Pelodiscus sinensis: one gene and its partners. The protein of the gene in region 1 purifies or fractionates together with the protein of each later gene. This does not show direct contact. Links are inferred from orthologs where the notes say so. Each region holds a gene or a part of one and is shown in the gene's direction. Other genes may lie near its edges.

Evidence for each region.
Region 2: the proteins of DDX39B (region 1) and prelamin-A/C purify together in Homo sapiens (affinity purification with mass spectrometry, with the first as the bait; 4 studies listed by BioGRID). This does not show direct contact. The link is inferred for Pelodiscus sinensis from reciprocal best matches to the Homo sapiens genes DDX39B and LMNA.
Region 3: the proteins of DDX39B (region 1) and FUS purify together in Homo sapiens (affinity purification with mass spectrometry; 3 studies listed by BioGRID and IntAct, with this or other methods). This does not show direct contact. The link is inferred for Pelodiscus sinensis from reciprocal best matches to the Homo sapiens genes DDX39B and FUS.
Region 4: the proteins of DDX39B (region 1) and SPECC1L purify together in Homo sapiens (affinity purification with mass spectrometry, with the first as the bait; 3 studies listed by BioGRID). This does not show direct contact. The link is inferred for Pelodiscus sinensis from reciprocal best matches to the Homo sapiens genes DDX39B and SPECC1L.

What each region holds. Positions count from the first base shown.
Region 1 is NW_027465831.1:175,556-182,895, reverse strand, and holds the start of DDX39B (spliceosome RNA helicase DDX39B), read left to right. Parts: upstream 1-4,327; 5' UTR 4,328-4,461; intron 4,462-7,340. UniProt on the Homo sapiens protein: Involved in nuclear export of spliced and unspliced mRNA. Component of the TREX complex which is thought to couple mRNA transcription, processing and nuclear export, and specifically associates with spliced mRNA and not with unspliced pre-mRNA.
Region 2 is NC_134734.1:16,695,243-16,702,791, reverse strand, and holds the start of prelamin-A/C, read left to right. Parts: upstream 1-4,538; 5' UTR 4,539-4,556; intron 4,557-7,549.
Region 3 is NC_134714.1:131,652,908-131,660,582, reverse strand, and holds the start of FUS (RNA-binding protein FUS), read left to right. Parts: upstream 1-4,667; 5' UTR 4,668-4,782; coding exon 4,783-4,795; intron 4,796-5,032; exon of another isoform or gene 5,033-5,100; intron 5,101-5,663; coding exon 5,664-5,688; intron 5,689-6,416; coding exon 6,417-6,571; intron 6,572-7,253; coding exon 7,254-7,395; intron 7,396-7,675. UniProt on the Homo sapiens protein: DNA/RNA-binding protein that plays a role in various cellular processes such as transcription regulation, RNA splicing, RNA transport, DNA repair and damage response. Binds to ssRNA containing the consensus sequence 5'-AGGUAA-3'.
Region 4 is NC_134725.1:7,284,281-7,291,101, reverse strand, and holds the start of SPECC1L (cytospin-A), read left to right. Parts: upstream 1-3,813; 5' UTR 3,814-3,817; coding exon 3,818-3,945; intron 3,946-6,821. UniProt on the Homo sapiens protein: Involved in cytokinesis and spindle organization. May play a role in actin cytoskeleton organization and microtubule stabilization and hence required for proper cell adhesion and migration.

The sequences.
Region 1 (7,340 bases):
ATGAAAGATACCAAATGGCTAGCGAGCATTCTGCAGTGTTCACTGGCTTTGTATTTGATGGCACATTAAACATTGAAAGTCGCGCAGCTTGCTAGCGATCCCTTGTCTTTGTATTCTTTCTTCCACAACGGTTTAAAAATACGTCTCTCTCAGAGATTGGTTAGTAACTGGTGGACGCGCGCTTGCCCTCAATATTAGTGCACGGGTCAAAACGCCCTCTGTTCACGGTTGGAAAATCTTCACGGGGACGCCGGAGCAGGGAGCTGTTCTTGGTGCTGTTTGCTCCACGCCCGCGGCTGGCCTGACCACATAGCGAAGCTAGACTCGACAGGGCGACACACTAGAATCATAGGTTCCCGAACGGGGGAAATTCAAGGGGGGGGGGGGGCGCAAGGCGACCCAGCCCCCCACCCCGTCAAAGAGCCTAGTCCCTCTAGTAAAAAAAATTCAGAAAATACTGGACGTGTCTTCCTGGCTCGGGCGTCTGCCAGAACACGCACAGCTTGGGCCTGGCCAGGTTTTTTTTCTTTTTCTTTTTTTTGCTCAACAAGCATTTTTTTGGGGGGGGGGGGGGGGTGAGGGTCTCTCAAAAATCAAAACGGAGGCGTGATGCTGAGAAGGTGGGGAACCGCTGCGAGACGGATGTGAGTGTTTCTCGGCTGGCCGGGCAGCCCCCGACTCTGCTCCTGTGCTGTGGGGGGGCCGTGACCCCGAAGACGCTGGGCCCACAGCTGGGCTCACCCGCTCCGTTGTGAATCCCTGTGCCTCGTGTCAGGACGCTGATGGTCGTGGGGTTTGTGTCCTCCTAGCAGACTTACCTGCTATTGCCACGTGGCAGTGGGGGGCGGGGGGCAGGAGCCAGGGCAAGCCCTTGGGGAGTGGGGAGCTCAGGGCAGGAGTCTGGGGGTGTAGGGTGATGCAAGAATGAGGGTGGAGGGATGAGCAAGGGCTCAGGACAAGGGGGCTATCTGGGGCTCTCTCCCCGCCCCCCGGCTCCTCTCAGGGTGGGGGGGGGCAGAGGCTGTCTCCTGCGAAGGGGCCACACTTCTCTTTCCAGCTGGCAGGCAAGAACACCGAGCCCCCGGCCCTGCTTGGCCACCCCTACGGTGATGCAGCTGCCCTCAGGGATGACCCTCCCCATAGCTCTCCCCTGCGCTCACTGCCCCCCAGTGGCCACTCTCAGGATCGCCTCCCTCCTCTCTCAGCCCCCTCCCCTGCCACGTGCTGGAACACAGCCCCATTCCCGGCACGGCCCGTTGTCCTGGGCCTCGCAAACCCGGCCCTTGCTTGCGCTTTGGAGAAGAGAATCCTAGAATCCCAGGGCGGGCAGAGACCTCGGGAGTCATCGAGTCCAGCCCCCTGCCCACGGCAGGACCAGCCCAACTCAATCAGCCCAGCCAGGGCTTGGTCTAGCAGGGACTTAAAAATCTCTAGGGATGGAGATTCCACCCCCCTCCCAGGCAACCCATCGCAGCGCTTCCCCACCCGCCTAGGGAAAGAGTTTTTCTTAATCTCCAACCTAGACCCCCCCACTGTAACTTGAGCCCATTGCTCCTTGTTCTGCCTCCTGCCACCCCTGAGAACAGCCTCTCGCCAGCCTCTTTGGAACCTCCCTTCAGGGAGTTGCAGGCTGCTTTCAAATCCCCCCTCACTCTGCTCTTCTGCAGACTCAGCTTTCCCCACATCGTCTGTCACTAGGTCACCTCCCTCATCCAGTAACCCCCTCTCCGATCTGGTCACCTACCATATTTGCTTTTCTTACTGCACATCGGGATGGTTTCTTCCTGTGCCTTTAATAAGGCTTCTTTAAAATCCTGCCAGCTCTCCTGGACTCCTTTCCTTTCATGTTAGCATCCCAAGGAATCCTGCCCCTCAGTTCTCTGAGGGAGTTGAAGTTTGATTTCTGAAGTCCAGGGTGTGTATTTTACTACTCTCCTTTCTTCCTTTGGTCAGGATCCTGAAATCTACCATCTCATGATCACTGCTTCCCAGGTTGTCACCCACCTCCCCTTCCCCTAGTAGTTCGTCCCAGTTTGTGAGCAGCAGGTCAAGCTGCGCACGGCCCCTGGTCGGTTTCTTCAGCACTCGTACCAAGCAGTTATCCCCAACGTTCTCCAAAAACTTCCTGGATTGTCTGTGTCCAGTTGTATTGGTCTCCCAACAGATGTCAGGGGGATTAAAGTCCCCCCCCAGAGGAAGCTGCCTGGCAAATTTGGTGGTCCGCGGTCTTCTTGTTTCTGAGTTTTTGAATGGACACTCAGATGGACGGACAGACTCTAGAATTCAGGGCTAGATGACCCGGCCTTTGGGAAGCCACAGTGTAGCCCAGGCAGTATGACCATTAAGGCCATACTGGTATTGCCCCAGCCTTTGGCTCTGGACTGTGGTCCAGATGGATCTGTGTTTTTTTCGATCTGGAGTGTGGAGTGGAGCAGTGCCAATGTGGGGTGTCCCTGCGGGGCGTGCTCAGCAGGTGCGGGGGCCTGTCCCTTCAGCTGCGCCTGGGCCGTGGAGAAAGGTGATCCGTGCATTTTGCATGCCGCTCGACTGTCGGCCAGAGCTGAGGGACCGGTCTTGAAACTGCTACCCATGGGCCCGAGACCCCTCCCCTTTTCTGCTCACTGGAGACCACCCAGGCCCTGTCGTCGCCACCGGCCCCTGCCCCTCACTCTCAGCCCCCCTGCCCGAGGCTAGTCCCCGCCCCCACTGCACTGCTGGCTTTCCTAGCCCCGGGGCACTAGGTGGTTGGGCAGCTGAACGACCCCCGGCCCCAGAGCCTTGGGGGGCCAGGGATCACGGGCTATGTTGTCAGACTTGACCCCTGCCGGCTGGTCCTGTCCCTTCCTGTTGCCAGCTCCAGCGCAGGGCCAAGAGCAGCCTGAGGAATAGGGCACTGTGGGGGCGTAGCCAGAGGGGAATGTGGTGTTGGGGGTGTGGCCAGTGATAGTGTGGGGGCGTGGCAGGGGCTGGCAGGAGGGGAATAGGGCACTGTGGGGGCGTGGCCAGAGGGGAATGTGGTGTTGGGGGTGTGGCCAGTGATAGTGTGGGGGCGTAGCCAGAGAGGAATGTGGTGTGGGGGGTGTGGCCAGTGATAGTGTGGGGGCGTGGCAGGGGCTGGCAGGAGGGGAATAGGGCACTGTGGGGGCGTAGCCAGAGAGGAATGTGGTGTGGGGGGTGTGGCCGGTGATAGTGTGGGGGCGTGGCAGGGGCTGGCAGGAGGGGAATAGGGCACTGTGGGGGCGTAGCCAGAGAGGAATGTGGTGTGGGGGGTGTGGCCGGTGATAGTGTGGGGGCGTGGCAGGGGCTGGCAGGAGGGGAATAGGGCACTGTGGGGGCATGGCCAGAGGGGAATGTGGTGTTGGGGGTGTGGCCAGTGATAGTGTGGGGGCGTGGCAGGGGCTGGCAGGAGGGGAATAGGGCACTGTGGGGGCGTAGCCAGAGAGGAATGTGGTGTGGGGTGTGTGGCCAGTGATAGTGTGGGGGCGTGGCAGGGGCTGGCAGGAGGGGAATAGGGCACTGTGGGGGCGTGGCCAGAGGGAGAATGTGGTGTTGGGGCGTGGCCAGTGGGAGTGTGGGGGCGTGGCCAGAGGGAGAATGTGGTGTTGGGGGCGTGGCCAGTGGGAGTATGGGGGCGTGGCCAGAGGGAGAATGTGGTGTTGGGGGCGTGGCCAGTGGGAGTGTGGGGGCGTGGCCAGAGGGAGAATGTGGTGTTGGGGGCGTGGCCAGTGGGAGAATGTGGTGTTGGGGGCGTGGCCAGTGGGAGTGTGGGGGCGTGGCCAGAGGGAGAATGTGGTGTTGGGGGCGTGGCCAGTGGGAGAATGTGGTGTTGGGGGCGTGGCCAGTGGGAGTGTGGGGGCGTGGCCAGAGGGAGAATGTGGTGTTGGGGGCGTGGCCAGTGGGAGTGTGGGGGCGTGACCAGAGGGAGAATGTGGTGTTGGGGTCATGGCCTGTGGGGGCGTGGCCAAAGGAGGTAGGCTATCGCGGGGCGGGGCTAGAAGGGGCGGGGCCTCGAGCCGTGGCCCCATGACGTCATCACAGGCCTGCGAGGCAAAGCGAAGCCTGAACCAAACTACTCCCAGCCCCTCTGCCGCCTGCAGGACCCCGTGGGAAACGCATTCCCGCGCTCCAGCCGGTGGCTGGGGGAGAGGTGTCCTTGTCAATCGCCTGATGAAAAAAAACGACACACACCCCCGCGCCGAGCCCTCTGCCCCGACTCCAGTGCGCTCGTGTCCGTCCCCCTCAGAGAAACCCCCGCCCTCAATGGTCCCTTTGGTGCGGGTGGGTTTTTTTTCGTTTGTTTCCAATCAGGCGCTGTGTTAGGCAGCCCCATCCGGCCGCGGGGTCCTCGCCGAGGCGCGCTCCCCTACCCCTCCCCCCACATTCCGGAAGTGGAGGCGCCGCTCAGTTCTGGCCGCGGCCGCCGCTCGAAGGAGACTCGGGCGCCCCTCCCCCCTGCAGCAGGTGAGCGGCCCCGCCGAGAATCGGTCGCGCATCGCCGCCGCGCGGGGCCATCCGCCCCCCGGAGCTCCTGATACCCCTCGGGCGGGCGATTCCCTCCCCGCCGCGCCCGGTCTCGGCCGCCATTTCCCGCCCCCGGGCCCCGAAAATCCGCCCGGAAGGGGCCCCGGGGGGGGCCGGATGGACGGGTTCCCCCATTGTGCGTCTCTAGCCGGCCAGGAATCCAAGATGGCGCCGGCCCGGCGGCCCTCCAGCCCCCGGGCCGCTCCGCCATCCGCGGACATCGGCCCCGCCCGGCCGCCCCCGCCCCCGGGACCCCGCGCGGGCGGGAGGGAGGACCCCCCCGCCGCCCCCCAGCCGGGTATTGGTGGGGCCGTGAAACGAACACACACAAAAATAGGGCGCCCAAGCCGCCCCCCCCACAGGGGAGCCTCCGACATGGGGGAGGGGTGCACCCCCCGTGCATGGTGGGACGTGCTGCAGTGGTTTGGGGGCAGGGCCCCTGCACTATGGTGGGTTGGGGGTGGTGAAGGGGATTGGGTAGCAGTGTATGGGGAGTAGGGCCCTGGCAGGGGGCAGGCCACGGAAGCAGTACCCCCCCCCCCCCCCCCCCCCCGCCATCGCAGCCTGTATCCTAGGACCTGGGGGCCTGCCCCACGGCAGCCGGCAAAGCGGGTGGTTGTGGCTTGTGGGCAGCACCCCAGTTTCTTCCTGGCCAGCCTGGGGGCGCCTCTTCCTGGCCTTGCACCTAGGCAGGGGGGCGGGGTGCTGAGGCTGCTCCTCTCAGTCCTGGGCAGGGGGGGAGGGTTATGGGGTGCAGCAGCCCCCAGGCCTGGTTTCTTTGTGGTGCACGCAGGGAGGGATTTGGGGAGCAGGGGCACCCCAGGGTCTGACATGCCCGCAGGGGGGCAGGGTACTGAGGCTGCTCCTCTCAGTCCTTAGCTGGGGGGGGGAGTGTTATGGGGTGCAGCAGCCCCCAGGCCTGGCTGGCTTTGTAGTGCATGCAGGGAGGGATTTGGGGAGCAGGGGCACCCCAGGGTCTGACATGCCCGCAGGGGGGCAGGGTGCTGAGGCTGCTCCTCTCAGTCCTTGGCCGGGCGGGGGGCGGGGGGGAGGGTTATGGGGTGCAGCAGCCCCCAGACCTGGCTGGCTTTGTGGTGCATGCAGGGAGGGCTTTGGGGAGCAGGGGCACCCCAGGGTCCGACATGCCTGCAGGGGGGCAGGGTGCTGAGGCTGCTCTTCTCAATCCTTGGCCGGGGGGGGGTTATGGGGTGCAGCAGCCCCCAGGCCTGGTTTGCTTTGTGGTGCACGCAGGGAGGGATTTGGGGAGCAGGGGCGCCCCAGGGTCTGACATGCCCGCAGGGGGGCAGGGTGCTGAGGCTGCTCCTCTCAGTCCTTGGCCGGGGGGGGGGGGGGGAGGGTTATGGGGTGCAGCAGCCCCCAGGCCTGGCTGGCTTTGTGGTGCATGCAGGGAGGGCTTTGGGGAGCAGGGGCACCCCAGGATCCGACATGCCTGCAGGGGGGCAGGGTGCTGAGGCTGCTCCTCAATCCTTGGCCGGGGGGGAGGGTTATGGGGTGCAGCAGCCCCCAGGCCTGGCTGGCTTTGTGGTGCATGCAGGGAGGGATTTGGGGAGCAGGGGCGCCCCAGGGTCTGACATGCCCGCAGGGGGGCAGGGTGCTGAGGCTGCTCCTCTCAATCCTTGGCCGGGGGGGGGGAGGGTTATGGGGTGCAGCAGCCCCCAGGCCTGGCTGGCTTTGTGGTGCACGCAGGGAGGGATTTGGGGAGCAGGGGCACCCCAGGGTCTGACATGCCTGCAGGGGGGCAGGGTGCTGAGGCTGCTCCTCTCAATCCTTGGCCGGGGGGGGGGGGAGGGTTATGGGGTGCAGCAGCCCCCAGGCCTGGCTGGCTTTGTGGTGCACGCAGGGAGGGATTTGGGGAGCAGGGGCACCCCAGGGTCTGACATGCCTGCAGGGGGGCAGGGTGCTGAGGCTGCTCCTCTCAGTCCTTGGCCGGGGGGGGGGGAGGGTTATGGGGTGCAGCAGCCCCCAGACCTGGCTGGCTTTGTGGTGCACGCAGGGAGGGATTTGGGGAGCAGGGGCACCCCAGGGTCTGACATGCCTGCAGGGGGGCAGGGTGCTGAGGCTGCTCCTCTCAATCCTTGGCTGGGGGGGGAGGGTTATGGGGTGCAGCAGCCCCCAGGCCTGGCTGGCTTTGTGGTGCACGCAGGGAGGGATTTGGGGAGCAGGGGCGCCCCAGGGTCTGACATGCCCGCAGGGGGGCAGGGTGCTGAGGCTGCTCCTCTCAGTCCTTGGCTGGGGGGGGGGGAGGGTTATGGGGTGCAGCAGCCCCCAGGCCTGGCTGGCTTTGTGCTGCATGCAGAGAGGGATTTGGGGAGCAGGGGCACCCCAGGGTCTGACATGCCCGCAGGGGGGCAGGGTGCTGAGGCTGCTTCTCTCAGTCCTTGGCCGGGGGGGGAGAGTTATGGGGTGCAGCAGCCCCCAGGCCTGGTTTGCTTTGTAGTGCATTCAGGGAGGGATTTGGGGAGCAGGGGCGCCCCAGGGTCTGACATGCCCGCAGGGGTCAGAGCGTGCCCCCTGCATCCCACTTCTCTCCCGCAGCTGGGCACAGCCCCCAGGAGTGTGGCGATACGAGTGGGGCTGGGGGCCCCCCAGTACTGCCAGTGGGGGGCGATGGGGTCCAGTTTGCAAAGCCTGTGGGGGAGTTCGGTAGGGCTCCCCTCAACATGTGGCGTCCGGAGTACGGCTGTGGGATTTGGGGGGGGTGGATCCAGCCTCCCCCCTGTACCTGGGCTCGCCCTGCCCCCCCACTCTGTGGGGCTGGGCTGTACACGGGCAGTTCGAGGGGGTGTGGGGGTTGAGGA
Region 2 (7,549 bases), on another chromosome or scaffold:
GACAGAGAGTAGAACGATGAACAAGAAGTTGAGTAGCAATGTCACCAGCGTTCCTACAGTTCAATGATACGTCTCGGGGGCTACGTCTAGACTGGCATGATTTTCCGGAAATGCTTTTAACGGAAAACTTTTCCGTTAAAAGCATTTTCGGAAAAGCACATCTAGATTGGCAGGACGCTTTTCCGCAAAAGCACTTTTTGCGGAAAAGCGTCTGTGGCCAATCTAGATGCGCTTTTCCGCAAAAAAGCCCCAATCGCCATTTTCGCAATCGGGGCTTTTTTGCAGAAAACAAATCTCAGCTGTCTACACTGGCCCTTTTGCGCAAAAGTTTTTCAGAAAAAGACTTTTGCCCGAACGGAAGCAGCATAGTATTTCCGCAGAAACACTGACAATCTTACATGAGATCGTCAGTGCTTTTGCGGAAATTCAAGCGGCCAGTGTAGACAGCTGGCAAGTTTTTCCGGAAAAGTGGCTGCTTTTCCGGAAAAAGTGGCCGGTCTAGACACAGTCCATATGTATAATCAGATTTTGTTTTACTCTTTCAGTTGGTGCTGAGGTCACAAAGAAATCTAATTTTATGTCTTGAAATAATCCAGAGTCATTGAACATACTGGAACAAATGTGACTATTTCAAAGTGGTCTATTGGACATCTTGGTGGGGTCATTGTTTACCCTTGTTTCTAGGGTAATCACTTGAGAACTTCACATCATACCTCCTTTTAGAAGACATGCGTTCAAATTATGTATCTCGTGTACGTGTATTTGAAAGCTTGTGATGCAGAGTGTGTGTGTGTGTAAGTACAGAGGAAGCATTAAGTTGACCAAACCGGTACTGTCTGCTACTCATAGATGTGTAGCTACATTAACGAGGATTCCAATGGAAGTTACCTAATGCTTGAAAAGTCTAAGCCATTTATCGAAGGGAGAGAATTGTTTGAAAGCATTTTGTTCCAGGCAGATCAAGCCAGCAGTTACAGCATGCAGCTTCCTGGGAAATTCCCCTGCCCCACTTTCTATCAGGAGCAGGGCTGGGATGTGTCCCCAGAGCTCCCCCCTCTCTCATTTACAACCGGCCAAGGGGCCAACACAATGGATATATTTCATGGGCTAGTCACAGCGGCAGCAGACTCTCCAATTTCAGAGCTTATTGCTGATCATTGGGGAAATGGAAAGCAAATGGGCCTGATGTGTCTCGGATGTCAGTGGGGAGTGGGGCAATTAGCAAAACAGGTTTAACTGCTGGGAGAGCCCAGAACATACGAGTTACCATTCTGTTAGACTTGGGGTCTGCCTGCCTAGCCCAATATCCTGGACCTCGGCAGCAGAAGGTGTAAGAACCCCTTCGCCTCTGGGGTGACATGGCCTGAGGGGAGGCTTCCTCTTGACCCCACCTGTTAGAGGAAGGGATGTAAAATCCTGGTTAAAAAGTTAGCTGGTTAAACTTAATGTTTTAATGGGTTCACCGTGATCGTGCGCCAGGGGCTACTCTAGCCTGGCCAGGGCTTCTGCAGCCTGAGCAAGCCCACGGAATCATGGGCTGCTCCAGCCAGGCCAGGCTCAGCCGGAGCAGCCCCCCACCAGTTAATTGTTTACCCTGGTAAGCATGCCAGTAAGGGTCATGCTTACCCAGTAACCAGTTAACCCTTTACATCCCTAGTTAGAGGTTGGTTTATGCCCTGACGCAGCAAGATTTTCAACCCTTCTCTAATTCTTTGTATCTCCCAGTCATTTACGCCAGTGCATTTCACACTCACTTTGCACTAATGTCAGTGACCGTGCAAGACTCTGGGCAAGGTAGAATCAGGCCCTGAGTTGAGTCCAGCCGGGGATGAATCTAAATGTTCTTATTATCCAGATAAATGTCTGATTCCTTCCAATGTTCCCTTCCATCTTTTTCAGCCACGTGCAGACTTTTTCCATCCAGGTGTGGTATAAATATTATGTGCACCGAGGCCATGTGCACCACCACTATAATAAAAAACCCAGATGTGGGAGCTCTGCTAATCAGCTGGGCAGCATTTGAATCTCTCCTGAGTAGCCACACAAATGCCCAGCTTACATGGAACACCAATCCCTTCTGATTCCTGCTACTCTCTGGCCTTCAAAGGCTCTGAGGGTGGGCAGCGGCCACCCTGCCCCTATGCTCCCGTTTGGATGTGCCATTCTGCCCCAGCATGCACATCCCTGCACCAGATGAGCCGATCTCTGGCTGCTGCTGCTGCTAAATATGTTCCTATTTGCCATTATTTCTATTTTTAACCAATTATTAATTATTTGGGTCATTATTATTTAATTAATCATTTTAGTTAGTGTTTGCTGTTTCTGTATGTGATTCCATCACAACGTAAGGATGACGGTAAATTTTCAGACACATAAAACAGACAAGCTCCCTGCTCCCCAAAAATGCCGACCGGTTGGGTGTGAACTGGCCCTTTCAGAATGCTGGGGCTCCGCTGTGTCCATGCGAAACCTCAGATACAGGCAGGGGTGGCCTGTGACTATAGGCCAACCTGGCCATCACCTAGGGCACTGCCTTCAATGGGGCGCCCAGGGCGCCCGATGATGATGTCACAGGGCGTCCGGGCGTCCGATGATGACGTCACTCCATTGACGGCCATGCAGGCGGGGTCGCCGATCGTGTGTTCCACCTGGGGCGCCAGCTACCGCAGCCCACCTCGGGCTGCTCATGGATACAGGGGGAGGAAAAGATGCCAGCTAAGGGCAAAGGGCCAGACATTGGCCTGTCACAGACACCCATTGCTGTACCATCTGGGCATGTCCAAAGCTCATGGGGTCCACTCTGGGATCTGCAGGACGGGGGAGCAATCAGCTGACAAAATCCTGTGCCTTTGTATCAGCTTCTCTTTCCCCACACACATGCACACCCGTGGATAACTTTGCTACATTTCATCCATGTTTCCAGAACATGCTGCAACGGTACTGGGGCTGTTGGGAGCAGGGAGGGCTCAGACTAGTGGGGAACCCCTCCCGAAAGTTTTAGCATGGGACATTTGGAAGGTGATTTTGTTTTAGTTTCAGTAGGGGTGTAAAATAACATTTAAAAAGTTAACCGGTTAAACATTACATTTACTCAGCTAACCAGCTGACCCAATAAGCATGCTGGTTAGGATGATGCTTACCAGGTAACCGGTTAACCTTTTACATCCCTCGTTTCAGGATTTTGTGCATTCACCATAAAACAGTGTGGTCTAAGGTTCAACACAAGGTGACTTTGGGGTTCTGTTGTCTCATGCAAGCACTGCTGGAATACTGTGTCCACTTCTGGTGTCCAGAATTCGGGAAGAGTGCTGATAAATTGGCGCGGGGTCAGAGAAGAGCCACGAGAACGATTAAAGGAATAGAAAATAGGCTTCATGGTGATAGACACAAAAAGCTCAGCCTAAGCGAGGGGGTTAAGGGGTGACTTGCTCACAGTCTGCAAGTATCTATGTGGGGAACAAATATTTAATAACAGAGGAAGATCTAACACGATCCAATGGCTGGAAGTGGAAACTAGATAAATTCAGAGTGGAAATAAGGTGTAATTTTGTAATGGTGAGAACAATGATCCGTTGGAACAATTTATCCAGGGTCATGGTAGATTCTCCATTGTTGAAAAATTGAGATGGGATGGTTTTTTCCCAAAAGATTTGCTTTAGAAATTATTTTGGGGAAGTTCTGGAGCCTATGTTATCCAGGAGGTCAGACCAGATGGTTATATTGGGTCCCTTCTGGCCTTGGAATCTACGAATCATTTCCGGCCTACTCCAGAGCAGTGGGAAGTAGTGGCTAGAACATGAGGCATAGGGGTTGGGGGCTCTTTGTTCTATTTTTGGCCCTGGTGTGGAAACCATGGTCTATTGATTAGAGCAGTCAAGGGGGAGTCAGGACTCCTTGGATCTATGCCTTGTTCTGCTTCTAACTCTGCTTTGTGCCTTTGTTTACCCATCTCTGAAGTGGAGATAATCATACCTAGCAGGATAGTTTGTAGTGTAGGGAGAGAGTCTTTTGGTTTGGTGTTCATAAGCATCTTGTGCTATGGGATCCTGATCCATAAGTGGAGTGCTGTGGTGCTACTGTAACAGAAATAATTCATAATAAAAAATAACAGTAAAAAAGTGCAATGTCTATCCTGGAACACAAGCCGCTGCTGTTCGCTATGTTCTTGTTCATAATTAGTATGGGAGCCTTCCAAGCTTTTTAACGGAGTGTTTCTGTCTCCCTTCTATTTTCTGCTCTGTTGCAAAAGGGGAAGGCAGATCCCAGGAGCAAATGCTCAGCAATTTGGAGCATCCAGCAATTCCTGGGACCCACGATGGTGCTTGACGCTGATACAAAGATTTTCAGCGAGATGGTGCGAAGATACCCATCGTGTCCTGGTTGCTCTCATGCAGAGAGAACTCAGATCCTCCTGCTTCTGTTGGATGGGGGCCAGACAGACACCCAGCAGCTGCCGAGACCATGGGGGTCTGCACTGAGACAGAGCATCAGCTGTTGGTAGAAGAGTTCATGCCAGCTCCGTGGTCCCAGATGGTGGTACAAGTTCTGTATCGCAGGTAGGCTCACAGCAGGGCTGGGGGAGGGATGCTTTGTATGAGGGAGGGTGTTGGAAATGGAGCTGTTTTGTGCAAGGCAGTTTGGGTGGAACTGGGCATAAAACCCAGGCCCCTGCTCAAACGACCGCTGAACCCCCATCCCAGAGCTGGGAATAGAACCCAGGAGTCCTGACTCCCGCTTGCCTTGCACATGAGATTAGGATCAGTAGGTCTCTTTATGTCTCCGATTCTGCAATTTACATTTATTCCTATTTAGAACCTGATGTCCCATGGGGCCTGATTCTCCATTGTTCTGAACTTGGCATAACCATTTACACCAGTGCAAAGTGAGTGTAAAATGCTGAGACCAGTGAGTCTAGGAAAGACACATTCGGCCTGGGATGTGAATTCAAGACAGCTCAATACAGCGACTGGGAAGGAGCAGTGGAGAGGCTGGATGGGGCCATAGCTAGCAAAGGAGCAGAGAAAACCAATACAGGGCTGGAAAGGACCCGAGTAGGTGATCTAGTCGAGTCCCCTGCACTGAGGCAGAACTAAATACTGTCTAGACCAAGGGTGGGCAATAACTTTTCATGGGTGGGGGGGCATCCCAAGATTTTGGTAAGTGGTCGAGAACCACATTTTTCTATGCAGGGGATGCAGGTCTGGGATGAAGGCTGAGTGTAGAAAGGACCATGCATGACTCTGTATGGCATGCCATTGGTGGGGGGGAGGGGCTTCGTCACTCGCTTGCCTCCACAAGCATGGCTTCCAGCCAATGGGAGCTGCAAGGATTGTGCTGGGGGCGGGAGCAGCATGCAGAGCCTCTCTCCCCCTCTCCCATGTGGCATGTGCTGTGCAGAGACGCACAGGCTGGCCCCAGCAGCTGGCTGCTTTGAGCCACAGGTGGGGCGCGGCCGGCAGGGAGCCTGCCTCAGACTCTCCCTGGGCTGTTGGACATTGATAGCCCAGAGGACTGTGATGGATCAGATCCAAAGCTTTTGCCCGCTGCTGATTTAAACCATGTCTGGCTGATGTTTGTCTAACATGCTCTAAAAAGCCTCCACAGCCTCAGTAGGCATGTGTTCTAGTGCCTAACTATCCTGCCACGGGAAGGTTTTCCTAATGTCCAATCAAAACCTCTCATGCTTGCGATTTAGGTCCATTGCTTCTTGTCCTATCCTCAGTGGATAAAAGAACAATTGATCACTCTCTGATTGGTTTTGTTGCTCTTCTCTGGACCTTCTCCTGTTTGTCCACATCTTTCCTGAAATGTAGTGCCCAGAACTGGGCACAAGACTCCAGTTAAGGCCTTATGAATGCTGAGTAGAGGGAAAAATTACTTCTCATGTCTTGCTTGCAACATGCCTACTAATGCATCCCAGAATGGTGTTTGGGGATTTGGGGTTTTTTTGGTAGCAGCGTTCCATTGTTGATTCGTATTTAGTTTGTGATCCGCTATAATCCCGAGACCCTGGTCTGCAGTACCGCTTCCTTGGCAGTCACTTCCCATGTGATATTTGAGCAATTGATTATTCCTTGCTAAGTGTAGTACTTTGCTTTTGTCCTTCTTGAATTTCATCCTTCCCCCTCAATGCAAATGTAGCATATTGTAGATTCTTGAACTTCTTTAATTTGGCAATCCTGGGAAACAGGGTCTGCCGGATTAAAGATGTTGCCGGGCCAGGGAGGTAGGGTTGCCAGGTGTCCGGTTTTCGCCTGGACAGTCTGGTAATTGCGTCTTCTGTCCTGTAAAACCTCCCAGAAAATACCTGTATTTTCTGTTTCTCAGATGGAAGACTGGTGGGGACATTTTTCCCTTGCTGTGTCTGGGCAGGGGTGGGTGGAACGAGAAGCACAGGAATTTAAAGGCGCAGCAACCTTTTTTTTTTTTTTTTTTCCTTTCTTGTTGTTGAACCAATTTTTGTCCCGCCATGTTCTGGATTTTTTGTGCAAGTATCTGGCAACCCTACAGGGAGGACATGGTGGGTTCTGGGTATGAGTTGGTGCACTTACCCAGTGCCCTGCTCCCAGGGGCACAAGTGGATCTGTGCTCCTGCTACTCCCAGGCCTCGGGAGCATGCTGCATGCTGGTGGGGATCGGCCTCCTTCTCCGTACCACGGATTAGGGATACCCGGAGTAAGGAGGTGCAGGTGCATTATTACATAGTTATTACTAGTGTCCTGTACCTATCCAGTTCCTTTTCACCCCAGGGTTTAGGGTGACAGGGGTTGTGGGCCACCTTAAGGGATTAAGGTGCATGAAGCTCGCTGGCTGAGCTTTTAAAGGAGACTCAGTGGTGTGAGACACCTCGGTGGGGGGTGCAGAGCATTAGATACAAGCAGCAAAGGGGAACTTGAACAGCTGATCATGCCACCCAGTCCTGGGCAGTGGGGGTGGGAAAGGAAACCAGCCCCCTCCCCCCGCCACCCTAGGATCATTAAAACAAAACCTTTGCATGGTGGATTACTCACAAACAAGGTGTGGCACTAATTGGCACCTTGGCCTGGTGCTGAGGGGACCATGGAGAATAGCTCCTCGCATGCGCCCGCCTGGAGGGGGTCCCTCTGGGGCAGGAGTGAGACAGGCTGGCGGGGTGACATGCTGGCAGAAGCAGCTTCCCGGGTTGCGTGCCTGCTGGGTGTGAAAGCAGCTATTCCTGTCGGGGGAGGAGAGAGTCAGTGTGGCACCAAGAGCTGACAGTATATTCATGGGGCAAGTGCACAAGACAGGAACAAGAGCGGGTGCAGGCTGGTACATGCATCAGGATGCCAAAAGCAGCCAGTGCCATCACTCATTGATTGGGGCGGAGTCTCCTTTACACCGAGACCCCTCTGCACCATCCTAGAACCACACAAGGGTCTCAATTACACGTCCACCCGCTTCTCACCAGGGCAGTGTGGTGCAAAGGGGCCGTATTCATAGCATTTATGGCCAGAAAGGCCACCCCCGTGAGTAGGACACGGCATTACATTTCACCCTGTTATCGAGCACTCCAACTCAGGGGAAGAAT
Region 3 (7,675 bases), on another chromosome or scaffold:
ACCTGCACTTGTGTCATGCACTGAGCCAGTGACCTACTTTCCACGGTTGCCTTGCCAACGCCCAGCAAGGCCATTCATAAATGGCGCATGGGCCTCTGAGCCGGATTGAACCGGTTTCAGGGACACAGACAGGAAAGCCTTGGACTGGGGAAGAAACCATTTTGCAGAATAAGGGGGTTCCAGGGAGAGGAATCGTTTTTCTTCCTGAATCCCGATCCGAGACATGGACCAACCTTTTCTATTCTGTGTGGGTTCTTATACCACGTCACCACTGCAGAGTCAGAGCCCCCAGCGCAGATAGGCCCCAAGACAAAGAATCCAGGCCTCAATTTTGTTCATGGGCTTTTTTTCTTCCCCAAGTGCAATTTCTGCTCACCTCCCACGCTCATTTTTTCATCCATTGACTTAAACGTGCGTTCGTTTTCTTTTGTCATGAGGAAAACACACTGCGCCAGACACGAATTCTGTGCAGCTGAATGGACCCTGATCCTGAGGGGTTTTAAAAGAAATGCTGCTTAAAAAAGAAACCCACGGTGACAATTGTGAATTGGATACCCCAGTGATAAGTACAGAATCATTACGTTTATTTATCATACCACTTATGGGGCCTAGCAGGGCAGGCCCTACACTAAATGGCGTCACAAGCAAAGAGTGTTTCATGCCTCCCTCCACTTGTTCAGCTTTTTAACACCTTATTTTTAGCCCATTTCATGACTCTGATGCGTGATTTATCCCTGTTATATAAGAGATGATGTATTTGTTCATGCCATAGATAAGCAAATAAAAAAGGTGTTTCCTCTAAGCTTATAGAAACCTTTTAATTTTAAGAATAAGTGAAATGTACTAACCTCAGGAAACTGTCACCAAACGATGTATTAAGCATGGCAAAAGAAGTAACGGTATTGCTTTTATATTATCGTGTTGATAGGCGTTTGATTACTATCTCTGGCATCTAATTATGTCCTCTATGAATTGCTACTTACACTTTTCAAGTCATAAAACACAAGTACACATTCACAATGACACAATAAAACAAGGTTCAAAATATCACAGCTGGGGGCCTTTGTGCTAGGGGCTGCACAAACACACACCAAAGAGATGACTCGAACCCCAAACAGCTTCTGATCTAAACTCCCAATCCTTGCTGAGACATCCGGCCTGGGAACCTGAGGGAAAGATTTTTCATCTTCCTTTAAAAACCTGCTCAGGGGTGCAGACTGAAAAAGGGAAGGAAGGGCTGCTTCGATATAATGTGTCTTGAAATAGGGGGAAATCTGACTCCACCCTAGAACCTGCAGCTAATGGAATTACATTTTAGGCCTCGTTAAACTGGGATGTGAAGGATTCGGCCACCCTGCAAGCCATCTGTTGCTTGGGAGGACTTTGGAGTTACTGTATGTGGATCTAAATCACGTAAAGGATAATGTGTCAAAGTCTTGAGTGATCTCCTTGCAGCTGTGGGTAACCTTTCCCTCTCAGTTTCTCCTTGGAACAAGAGTAGCTAACGAGAATTCAGAACCTAAGTCTCTCATAGGAATGGCTTGTGGGACAGCTATCAAGTTTGAATTTCCCAGAAATTCTGCAACCAGCTTTTTAACCAAGATTTGGTCTGCTCCAGCAAAGATCCTGTGATTTTTTTTTCCGAAGAGGAAGGGTTTGCTCTTAGCTCAGCCAGCCAACAGTAGTGATATATGTGGGTTTGACTGCTAGGCTCCACCCCAGAGAAGGATGCACTGTGGCAAAGAACAGCATAACAAGAACCAGTGATTGGGAGACAGACAAATTCCAATGAGAAATAACAAGGCCCTGACTTTTAACAATGAGGGTAATTAGACTCTGGAACTAACTTCCCAAGAGAGCTGGTGGATTCTCTATATTTTGATAGCTTCAGATCAAGAATAGACAAGATGCTTTAGTCAAACACAAGTTACTTGGTTCAGTACAGAGGTATCTGAGTGAAACTCTCTTGGAAGTCAATTCCACTTATGGAATTACAGCAAGGTAGGACTGGATAAAGCCTCAAAAGACCATCTAATCTGATCACACTGCCCTGCACTGAGAGAGGATTAAATATGAACAGACCTGTGGCCTCTTCTGGTGTTAAAATCTATTAATCTACTCACCCTAACAGTGGCTGAACTTCAGTACAGTTCAGATCTGGTGTACAAAGGGAACATGGGGAGTGTCTTTCTCCTTCTCAGTCAGGGGCCACATCAGTGAGGGTTTGGTTTTTCTATTTTGCTTCTCACTTGTGTGTGCTCCCCGACTGATTTTTCTGTGGGGTCAGCATCCCCTGGACTCAAAAACGGTTCCCCACCCTTGCAGAGTAATCACTTTTTGTGACGTTCCTGCTCCAAAGAGCTTACAATCTAATTTAAAGTGCATTCTTTTAGAGACCGTTTTCATCCTTTCAAACATCCCACCCCAATATCAGCGCTGAAATCCAGCTGTCTGAGTTCTAGGTGATCCCTATATTGTATAATCTGAAATGGTTAAAATCTCAGACCCTGCCTTTGGAATTGTTCTGGCCTGATTCTACCATTAAAACTGACTCTTACTTTTATTACCATGAATTCTTTCCTACTTTGTTACTGGAGGATGGCTCACTAAGAAACGTCCCCACTGAAGGGAAACAAGAAGACCTTTTATAAATACATTAAAAGCAAGAGGAAGACCAAGGACAGGGTAGGCCCACTGCTTAGTCAGGAGGGAGAAGCAGTAACAGGGAACTTGGAAATGGCGGAGATGCTCAATGACTTCTTTGTTTCGGTCTTCACCGAGAAGTCTGGAGGTGTGCCTAACGTAGTGAATACAAGCAGAGAGAGGGTAAGTTTAGAAGATAGGATACACAAAGAACAAGTCAAAAATCACTTAGGAAAGTTAGATGTCAGCAAGTCACCAGGTCCTGATGAAATGCATCCCAGGATACTTCTTCTAGGGTTTGAGAAGAAGGTGTAGTAAACAGCTGAACTGTTATAAATATTCAGACGTGAACTTTGCAACAAGAGAACAAAGGTCAGTCAAGGATCTCACTAAGCTTTATTGAGCAATTTAACTGGCTCGCCTTCTTGAATCAAGAGCAAGACTGCAGACATGAACTCAGTTTATGCCAACAGTCAGGATTAATCCAGATTAAATCAGCTTTTGGAAATACCATCAACAAATGCACAGAGTGATTTAGACACTGGAGAAAAAAAATGGATCCCCACACATATCTAGACACAAATACGTACCTATCCATCTATATAAACCCATGTACTTGTCTCAGTCCCCTATACACACACACACACACCTTAGCACTTATCTAGTGTTCTTGGTCTGCTTCTAGGGCTACGTCTACACTATAAGCTTTTTGCGCAAAAACCTGCAGAGCATCCACAGCTCAAATGAGTTCTTGGGCAATTAAATGGGCAGTTAAACGGCAGAACAGAGGACTTTTTCCACCATAAGTAAACCTCCTTTTCTGAAGCATAACTGCTTTTAGCACTACAGCTATTGCACAAAAAGGCAAGTGTGGATGCTCCAGAGGGGTTTCTTGCGAAAGAAACTGCTATAGGAAAAAGCACAGGTGCTCTGATGGTCATTCTGTGAATGGCCATCAGAGCTTTCTTGCGCAAGAGCGCCCATGCAGTGTGGACACTCTCTTGCGCAAAAGCACAGCGCAAAAGTGATGTGCTTTTGCAATGTGATTTGAGGTGTGGACGTGCTCTTGCGCAATAAATTTTTGTGCAAAAGCTCTTACGCAAAAGGCTTCTTGCACAAGACGCATGTAGTGTAGACATAGCCTAAGAGTTCTGCAAAGGAGTTAATTCCAGTTTTACTAGTAAGGAAGATGAGGCATGCCAAGGGAAAGTGACTTGCCCATGATCACCGAAAAGGCCAGAGATCTAAGACCCTAGGTATTGGCCCATGGCTTTTACCATTACTCCACATTGCCCTCAGGAGACACTCCCCCAAAGAGACACTACTGGACAAACCCACCTCCTATCAATTCAATGATTTCTTGTTGGTATGACAAACTAAACAAGTGTTGCTTGCACATTTACCCGCAAAGATTTCTCTCTTTCTCTCTCTCTCTCTCCCTCTCTCACACACACACAGGTCTGCACACAGACCCACAAATATCTTAAACCCCTGCACACTGATGCACCACAGTCTCGTACACATGCACCTCTGTACACTTACCCCAAAAGATCTTTCTCTCACGCACACACACTCCTGCACACTGACCCACAACTCAGACTCCTGCTCACTGATGCACAAAGGTCTCCCACAAATGCACACCTATACACACACACACACACACACTCACACTGCCCTAAGCACAAACCCCTCCCTGCCTCCCTCCCACCCAGCCACACACACAAATACCCTCCCCCCCCGCAGAAAACCAAACTCCTTCTCCCCGCATCCTCCCCTCCCCCCCGCTTCCGCAGTCACTTTGGTTCCTTCCACCCAGCCCCATGACCTCATTCCTCCTCGCGCCCCCACCCCCGCAGCCTGCACCATTCCCCTCCCGGGGGGGGGTGGCCGGAAGGGCAGAACAGGGGCCTTGTGCACAGAGAAAAACCACCGCCCCCCCTGCACAGACAATACACCCGGCTGCGGGTCCGCCCCGAGTGGGGGGGGAGCGGGCAACAGCGGCTCTGAGAAGGGAGGGGCCAAGCAACCCCCCCAGCTGCCGAGGGAGTTGGTACGGTCCAGGAGCAAGGGGCGGGGGAGGGGAGGGTATAAATACTGCCGGGCGGGGGAGGGACGTTCACTCCAGCGGCGGCAGCAGCAATGGCGTCTAACGGTGAGGCGGCGCCGCTCTGCGGCAGGGCACGGGCTGGCGGGAGGGGGCTGCTCATGGGTTGTAGACCCGTCGGGGGGGGGGCGGGTCGCAGCCCCCCCCCCCGGGGACGAATGCCCCCCCCGTGGCGGGGGCGGGCTCCCGCGCTCAGCGCCGCCCGGTGCACGCGGGGCCGCAATTCCTACATAGCGCGGGGGGGCCGGTGCCTCGTGCGGGGGGGCGCCCTCCCCCCTTCAATACCTGCGACACTGAGGCCTTAGCCGCCATTTTGGGGGGGAAAGGAAACGGCTCTTTCCTCGCTGCGCGCGTGTAGCCCAACGGCGCCTGCGCGCCTGGGGAGGGAGGGGGCGCGAGGCGCGCGCGGAGAGGGAAGGGCGTGGCAGAGAAGAACGCACGCGCGCTGTGGCCCCTGACGCCGCCGCCGCCTCGAGCCGCAGAGGGCGGCGCATGCGCAGTAGAAATGGGCCGCCCGCCCTGCACCCGCGTGTGGGCGCATGCGTCGTGCGGATTTTTTTTTTTTGCCGCAGTCTTTCATCCGGGCTCTGCCACGCGCTGTGCAGGCGGCGCCAGAGCGGGTTGGTTGGAGCCTCCGCGCCCGACCAATCATCGCCTCTCCCGCCCACTGAGTGAAGCGTGGTCCATTCCCTCCCCCCCCACGCACACACGCTGCCACCCAGCCTGGGGGTAGATGCCCTGCACTGCCTGTGACCGCCCCATTGCGGGGGGGGGGAGCCACACACACACACCTGCGCACTGGGCCTCCCCCTCCCCTCTGTACGGTGCCCCCCCTTGCTCCCCCCGCCCGTCCTCTCCCGGGAGCTGGGCTTTGGTCTGGGACCTGACTCACTGCTTCCCTCTTTGTGTCTTGCAGATTACAGCCAGCCGGCCACCCAGAGGTAACCCTCCCCCGCCCGTGCGCGGCGCTGGCCGTCTGGGCTCTGCAAAAAGAAGACAACGCTGGCACATGGGGGAGGGGGGGGTTATCCCAGGAGTCTTTCCTTCATCGCTCTTCTATTAGTGCCTTAGATCAGTGGGCTCTTCCAGCCCACATTCCTGCCTTGGATTAGACCTGTGGGCCCATCTAGTCTGTTATCCCTCCTTGCTCCTAGAGACCTGGATCACATCAGTGCACCTATCTAGCCCAGCATCCTGTTTCCCAATAGCGGCCAGCATTCTCTGCTTTATAGAAACATCTAAATAAAACAACAGCAGGGAGTTAAATAATGACGTGATTCTAAAGGAAACTTCCTCCTAAACACCCTTGATTTCTAAGCTCTTTTGGGCAGGGACTCTGCCTCTATTTAGCACAATGCTCTTATCTGCCTATTGCCCTGTAATGCAACTGACACACTTGTTAGTCCATGCTGTTAAATCCATTGACTCGTTGCTTCCCTGGAGCAGTGCTAATGGTGTTCAGGGCTTCTGATACAATGTGGGTTATTCCCTCAAATCCCCCTCAACCCAAATTGCATGATACATGGTGTCACCATGTCATGGTAATTTTCAAATTAGTTTGCTTATGTGTGTGGGACTTCTGAAAAAAAATGTTTCTAAACTGCTGCAGCCTTAACTATGGAGTCACTGCTGGCCTCTGGAATATCTAACCTGTCTGATCCTCATTTAGCTATGGGGCTTACCCAGCACCACCAGGACAGGGATACTCTCAGCAAACGAGTCAGCCCTACAGCCAGCAGAGCTACAGCGGTTACGGCCAGTCTGCAGACACCTCAGCATATGGACAGAACAGTTACAGTTCTTCTTACGGCCAGAATCAAAGCAGTAAGTGTCACTCTCTTGGTCCAGCTAAAGTGAAGCTGTTTTTCACTGCCAGCAAGTCTCATCAGCACCATCCAAAAGTTACTTGAGTGACGTCAGAGTATTTTCCTATCGGTTCTCTCCAGATGGCCAATTCCATCAAAGGATCCATTAATTGGTGTGGCTATATTGCTGATTCAGTCCCTACTGCATCAAGTGTTTAAAAACCCAATAACACTCTTCAGCCCTTCTGAATAATACAAAATCCCTATCACCTTTCATTTTTGGGTGAGAGTGAATCTGCATCATCTAGTTCTAGCCTATATATGGGCTAGGGATTGCGTAAAATTTGCTTCCCTACTTGGTATCCTCCCCCAAGGTTTGCATTGTGTATCTAACTAGTTTCTGTATATCATCCCCAGAGGTGCCTGCAATTTAGGGCCGATGGGAGGGAAGTTTAGTATGATACATCTTACCAAGTGCCTTGAAACTATAGACATGTGGCAGAACTGAGGTTAGAATTTGTCTCCTGAGTTACTTTTATTCTTTACTAAGTAACACGGCCTTTCCAAAGGAGCTGTGGAGACATAAGCTGGTGCCTCTCTTCTATACTTCAGTTGCACTGAATCAGCTTGAGGTATAGAAGGGATTCATTGGGTCTGTTTAGCCTGGCCATGTTTTAAGAATGGATTGGGTTTTTTACCAGCTGGCTACAGCACTCAGTCAACACCTCCAGCTTATGGAACAACTGGATATGGCAGCAGTCAGACCTCTCAGACCTCTTACGGACAACCCTCATCGTATCCTAGCTATTCCCAGCCACCAGCAGCCAGCTCAACAACGGGAAGGTATGGCTAAACATTTCCCTTCTGAGCCCCTGTCTATATTCATTTTACAAATGGTGAGGGAAGGGGGCTTGCTCAGGCTCGCGGATTGAGTCAATGGCAGAGCAGTGTATGGAACCCAGGAGTTCCTACTCCCATCCCTGCTCCAACCTGCTAGACTCCTCCTTTCCTAAAGCTGAGGCTAGAACCCAAGGCTACGTCTACACTACAGGCTTTTTGCGCAAGAACAGCCATTCTTGCGCAAAAACTTAGAGCGTCTACACTGCATGCGTATTCTTGCGCA
Region 4 (6,821 bases), on another chromosome or scaffold:
AAGCTCATGCTCCAACACTTCACTTAGTCTATAAGGTGCCACAGGACTCCTCACCGCTTTTGCAGAGTCATACTAACACGGCTACCCCTCTGATACTTTCAAACTGAAAAGGGTTCTATGGCCAAATAAAAATTGGGGAAATTCTGGTCTTGTCAACTACTTGTTCACATCCCTCATATACTAGAGATGTTAAATAATGGGTTAATTGAATAGTTGAGTAATCCCATGAATTCTTTTTGGTTAGTCAGCTATTCCATAGTCCCTGGGGCCGGGCCCAGCAGCCAGTGCACTCCGGCCTTACTCCCGAGGAGCCCCCTGCCACTCTGCGCTGCAGCCTCTGTATCAGAGGCAGCAGCATGGGATGCCATACGGGAGCTGGTTCATGAGGGGAGCCAGTTTAAAAACTGGTGGTGGGTCTGAGCTCCTGGACCTGGTATGGGCTGGAACTGAGGCGAGCTACCTGCCCCCTGCCTAGGTCCTAATACACTTTAAATGCAGAGCCATAGCTGGCCAGCCTGCTAAAAAATTTAATGCAGGGGGTGGAATGCATGTTGTCTATAGCAGCGTTTCCCAAATGGTGCTCCGCGGAACCTTGGGATTCCGTAAAGTGAAAGTAAGGGTTCCGTGAGAATCTGAATGCTCCCTCCCCCTTAAAGAGACAGAGGAGCCTGGTGCGCAAAGATGCTGGCTTCTCTGGTTCCCAGCTGGGATTTCAGACACCCTCCCCATCCCCTGCTGCTGCTCTGCTTTTACCAAGGGACCTAGCAGCTGCCTTGCTAAAAGCAGCAGGGGATGGGGGGAGGAATGTTGGGTTGATCCGGGAGAAGATGGACAAGCAGCTGTAGCTGCTGCTAGGTCCCTTGGTAAAGGATGGGGGGAGGAGGAGAAGGGGGGATACTATCAGTGAGTGGAACACCGGAAATCCTTTACTCACTATGGTGATTTCTGCTCCTTCACACACACTGTGAGGACACATGGCTCCTGTGTGTGACTTTAAGAATACAAATTAATATCAAAATTCCCATGGATCTTTGATTTTAAAAAAAGGAACTTTAAAGAGAAAAGTGAGTACTTCAAGCTCCCATATTTTTACTGAAACCAACAAGGAAAATACTGAGGCAGTTCAAGTTTAATTATGAAAAATTACAGCCGACTAATAAACTCAGGTATTGTGAGGACTATTTGTCAGTTGAATTCACAAGCAATGGAAATGAAGATGCTCCGGGTGCCCAGTGTGTACTGTGCAACAAAATATGATCTAATAGTTGTTTAGTACCTGCTAAATTGCAAAGACATTTTGAAACAAATCATTCAGAGTACAAAGATAAATACATTAGTTTTTTTTAAGTAGAAGCTTGAATCACTTGAAAAAAAGTCAACTCTTGGGGTGTGCCTAGACTACAGGGTTTTGTTGACAAAAGAGGACTTTTGTCGACAAAACTATACCTGCATCTACACTACTGCTGAGTTCTGTCGACATAACGTCAACAGAACTCGGCAGTTTTGTCAACAGCAGTAAACCTTATTCTGTGAGGAATAATGTCTTGTCGACAGAAGGCATTATTGTATCTACACCGTCCTTTATGTCTACGCTCACTGTCGACAAAGAGCGTCTAGACTATATCCAGTTCTGTCAACAAAGCAAGCTGCTTTGTCGACATGAATCTGTCAACAAAAGCCTGTAGTCTAGACGTACCCTTGATTAAAAAATTGCCAAATCTGATAATAAAAATGCAACAGAGGCATCTTATAAAGTTAGCTATCGTATATCGCACGCCGGAGAAGCACACACTATTATGGAATCACTCATTTTAAAAAAAACACCATGTGCAAAAGATATTGTAATGTGTATGTTGGATCAGGAGTCTTGTCAAAAAGTTGAAGCCGTGTCACTATCAAACAATACTGTCACGCGTCGTATTCACTATCTTGCTGCTTATTTTTCGGCTGCATTTATGTGATGCATATGCATTACAATTAGACGAGTCCACTGATGTTGCAGGTCTTGCAGTTTTGCTTGTATTTGTCCAGTATGATGATGATGATAGTTCCATTGAAGACTGACTTTTATGTGAATTTTTGCAAACCAATATGACTGGTGAGAATTGTATTGATAACTTTATGAAAACACATGAAATAAGCTGGGAAAAATGTATTGATGTGCGCAGTGATGGTGCCAAAGCAATGGTAGGAACAGTGGCTGGTGCTGTAATGCGAATAAAAAATGTAGCACCAAATTGCACCAGCAGTCATTGCATTCTCCACAGACATGCTCTGGTAGTTAAGAATATTTCTCCCTCTTAAAAATGTGTTGGGCGAAGCAGTACAGATGATTATATAAAAACTCAACCATTACAATCAAGACTGTTCAAAATTATGTGTGAAGATATGGCTAGTCAGCACACAGCCCTGCTTCTGCATACAGAAGTCAGGTGGCTATCGCAAGGCAAAGTGCTGGTTAGATTATTTGAGTTGCGTCATGAGCTCTCCGCATATTTGATCACAAATTCCAGCTGTCTGATCATTTAACTAACTTTTTGTGGTTATCGAGAGTTGCGTACCTTGCAGACCTCTTTACAAAACTACATGAAGTAAATCTGTTGCTGCAATGAAAGAATGTAAATATTTTTAATGCAAAAGATTAAAATTTTGTCATTGTCTCGGAAGCTAGTTTTGGATCTCCTCTGTAGGACAAAATAATTTGGATTGTTTGCCACCCTGGAATGATTTCCTTGAGGAAAATGAATGCAAACTTGATGAAGATATTAGCAGTGACATTGCAGATCATCTCCGCGAGTGATACACAATCATTATTTTCCAACCATAAATGACGACAATAATTGGATTAGAAATCCATTAAGTTTAACAGAAAAGCCAGTCAGGTTTTCATAATCTTGTGTAGAAAAACTAAGTGAAATTGCTTCAGATGGCCAATTAATACAAAAATATAAAGATGTTTCTCTGATTACATTTTGGGGTGACTTATGTCAATCAAGAATATTCATCTTTATCAAGACGAGCAATTCGTCAGTTGTTACCCTTTGCAAGCACATACTTGTGTGAAACTGGGTTCTCGAACTATGCAGCAATAAAAACGCAATACAGAAATCAACTGAATGCTGCACCAGATATACGAATCCAACTTTCTAGTATTAAACCACATATAAAAAGAATTGGCCAAGAAAAGAAGAAAAACCACTCTTCGCCTTGAAAACAGTCAGTATAATTCACATTATTTTTTAGCTCTTTTTTGTACACATTTAATGTGGTTTTTTTTTTTTGTTTTTAAAATATGTTCAATTACAATGAATGGAGATCTCATGACCATATTTAGCATCTTATTACTACTAATTGTGGTATACTGGAAGCCTGCTCTATGTGCTTGGGATTTGTTTTTGTTTTTTCTTGACAAATGTTTTTTCCTGGCTGTAGGGGTTCCTTGAAATTTTTCAAAGTTTGAAAGGGTTCTGTGGTCCAAAAAAACAAAACGGGGGGGGGGGGGGGGGAAGAACAGGTCTATAGCTTTAACTTATAAGCTTTTGCTTATGGTGTAGTCTACTAACTGATCACATTCCTAGTATATACTTGATCATAAGCCTAGTTTTTTGGTAAAAATGATGCAGTGGTGAGCAGGAGTCAGCTTATGGGTCATTGTTTTACCTTTTTTTAAAACTTGTGCAGGGGGGAGGGTAGTAAACTTCAGCAATCTGCCCTGCTAGGCTAGGAATTGGTGTGCTGGGATGTTTTATATACCTGGATTGTCAGCAGGCACGTTGTCCCTCAGCTCCCAGTTGTTACTGTTCACTGTTCCAGGTCAATGAGAGTGACAGGAAGTTATGCCAGCGTGTTTCTTGGCCCATGCTGCTTCTTGCAGCTCCCATTGCCTGGGAACAACAAACAGCAACCAGTGGGAGCTGAGAGGCTCCGTACCTGCAGACACTCCAGGTAAATAAAATTTCTCTGTGCCAGTGGCTTACGCTGATGAGCTGGAACCAAAAGTTTGCAAACTGCCAATATAGTCAGCTTATGATCAGGTCTAAGGATGTTAAATAGTGTTTAGAAGCTAATCAAATAGTTAAGGGGGTTCGCTGCAGTTCTGTTTTTTTTTAAATGTAATAAGAGTCTCCAGGCTCTTACTGCATTTAAAAAGCAGAGGCTCAGCGTCTTGGATTTGCTCATGCTGTTCCCCCACTGTGCCTTTGCCTCCCTTGCCCCCTGCAGAGATGGTGCTGGGGGAACCTGCTTTTAAGCTGCCATCCCCCCAGCACTGGCTCTGGCTCCCCCCTCCCTCCCTTGTTACTTCTGATACAGAGGCAGCAAGGGGGGGAGGAGCAATTAGTCAAGTAGTGACTCAACTACAACTACTTGCTTATATTCCTAAACCAGTTTTTGCTATTTTTACATTTTTTTTTAAATGTGGTGGGGAGGCATTGGCTTTTGAACAAATGGATTTGACTGCTTATATATGGTAACTAAACAGGATTTTACATCCTTAACGTGCTTAGAGCATTCAATAGGTCTCTGTTACCATTTTAAATGTAAATAAATGTTAGTACTTGTAGGTGACTTGCTTTTTCTTTTATGTTTTCAAAAGGAGTTTTTTGGGGCTGCTTTTTACTCTTTAAAACAAGGAATCTTTTACTATACTTCTGTTTAGAAATTCTGTTCTTTATTTGGCCTCTTGCACCCTTGTATTCTAACTAGCAAACATTGGTTCTAATCCTACAAATGCTTAAGTGTGTAGCATAACTAATGTGAGAACTCCTGTTTTTATGGGGAAAAATCATGTGGATAATATTGAGCATGTGTTTGAGTGTTTTGATTGCTCTGAAATTTTAAATTTAGTAATAAATTTAAAATGAAGAAAACTTGGCTGTAAAGATTAAATACATAATTATGCCACCAGTCAGCCACAAGGAAAGTTCTTAATCTGTTTTGGTCTAATTTAAATTAAAATTAATTTACTATTGGGGAACATTTATTATTTAATACAACTTTCAGATGATGTTTGGCTGCTATGTCTGAGCAGCTTCTGATAATAATCTGGCTTCTTAACTAGGGATTTTAACATGCAGTGTCTCCCTCCCCCTGCACTTTGCTGCCTCCCACAGAGGCAGCAGCATGGGGACAGTGCTCAGAGGGGACAGCTCCTATGGAGCCGCCTGGCCCCAATCCCCATACTGCTTTCTTTGATAGTCAGGCTGCAGTTTGGGGTGTAGGCAGGAGCCAGTATCCACGGGAAACCAGCTCCACACAAGTACTGGCTCCTGCCTGCCCCCCACTTGTAAACGTGTAACTGCTATTAGCAGTTACATGTTTACACAAATGCATGTTAGTTATCATCCCTAGTCTTAATTTGTTAATTGCACACAGTTATAGTCTCCTGTGAGGTGACAATAACTACTTTGGATTTTTCTTTCTGCCTGATGTATCAGTTCCTAAAGACTAAAGAGTATTTGTTTAAGTTTATCCTGTACAGACTAACTCGGCTACCCCTGGAAGCTTCAGTTAATTAGGGATGTAACAGTGTAACTGTTCAAACAGTTGACTGACAAGCATCAGCTTATCCATTATAATAACCTTATATGCCAGCTCCCAGGGAGCTGGCTAGCACACCACACTGCTGGCTCTGTATTGGAGCCCATAGTATCAGGCAGCAGCCAGCTCCCTGGGAGAGTGGCTCCGGGTTGGCTTAAAAGCTAGCTCTTGGCAAACATGGGCTCCTGGGGAGCTGCCACCATGCTATGATTTTTTTTTTAATGGTTACACAGTTACCTAATGACTTTTTAACATCCCTATTCTTACTTTTTGTACCTAACCAACATTATTTCCCAAATAAACTACAGAGAAAACTTCCCAGAAGAAAACAGAGAAATTTTAGTATGGGTGTAAATTATCTTACTGTACCTATAAAGTTTTTTTTTCCTTGTGGGATGAGTGACATCATCACATCACTCTGTGTCCCACAAGAATATGCCCCACCTCCCCTCAGCCTGGCCCTTCTGAAAGCCCATGTGGAGGCCTGGGCTGCCTACTGTCCCAGCCTTTCCCTCCCCTTCTCAGTGGCTGGAGGAAAGCAGGGCCTGGCATGGCTCGGGCCTGATCCCTCCCAGCAGAACATTCCAGTTGGGAAAACTGGGCCAGCGCAGCTCAGGTCCTGGCCCTTCTGGCACGCAAGGGGGGAAAACTGGGCCTGGGAGCCAGGCCTGGCGCACACCATGGTTGGAGCTGGGTCTAGTGTGTGCTGCTGCCTATTAGTTACTGTTGGGTCACAGCAGAGAGGGAGGGAGAAGAGGCCTTGGCTGGTGGAGGAGATGGCCAGGAGGAAAGCCGGGGTTGCCTACCCCCCACAACAGGGGGATTGGCAAGCACAGGGGGCATAGCTCCCTAGTAACTTAAAAAAAATCCTATAAACAGATTAGATGTTAGGATCTCTTACTGCACAGAAAACAGGGTGGGATGAGGCACTTCTAACATCTAAGAATCTGATTACTTTACAGCATCTAAAACAAGAATATTTAGGTGATATACACCCACGTTCCTTACATTCACTTTTTAAACTTGGCTTCATTGCTAAGACTTAAGGTATGACTACAGTGAAACTTCTGTCAAGGAAACTAATATTGACATACAGAAATGGCCTAAAAAAGCCACCCAAGTGTGGTTGCAGAGTTTGAGCAACCAGACTTAGAGCTGTCAGAGAAGCTCAAAGAGTTGCTGTTAACATGGAGACTTTGTAAATGAGGAGCACTGAAATAAACCTCTGTGCCAGTGGCTTCCATGCTGCACATAGCTGGGAACATGCCTTAAAAGCCTGCACC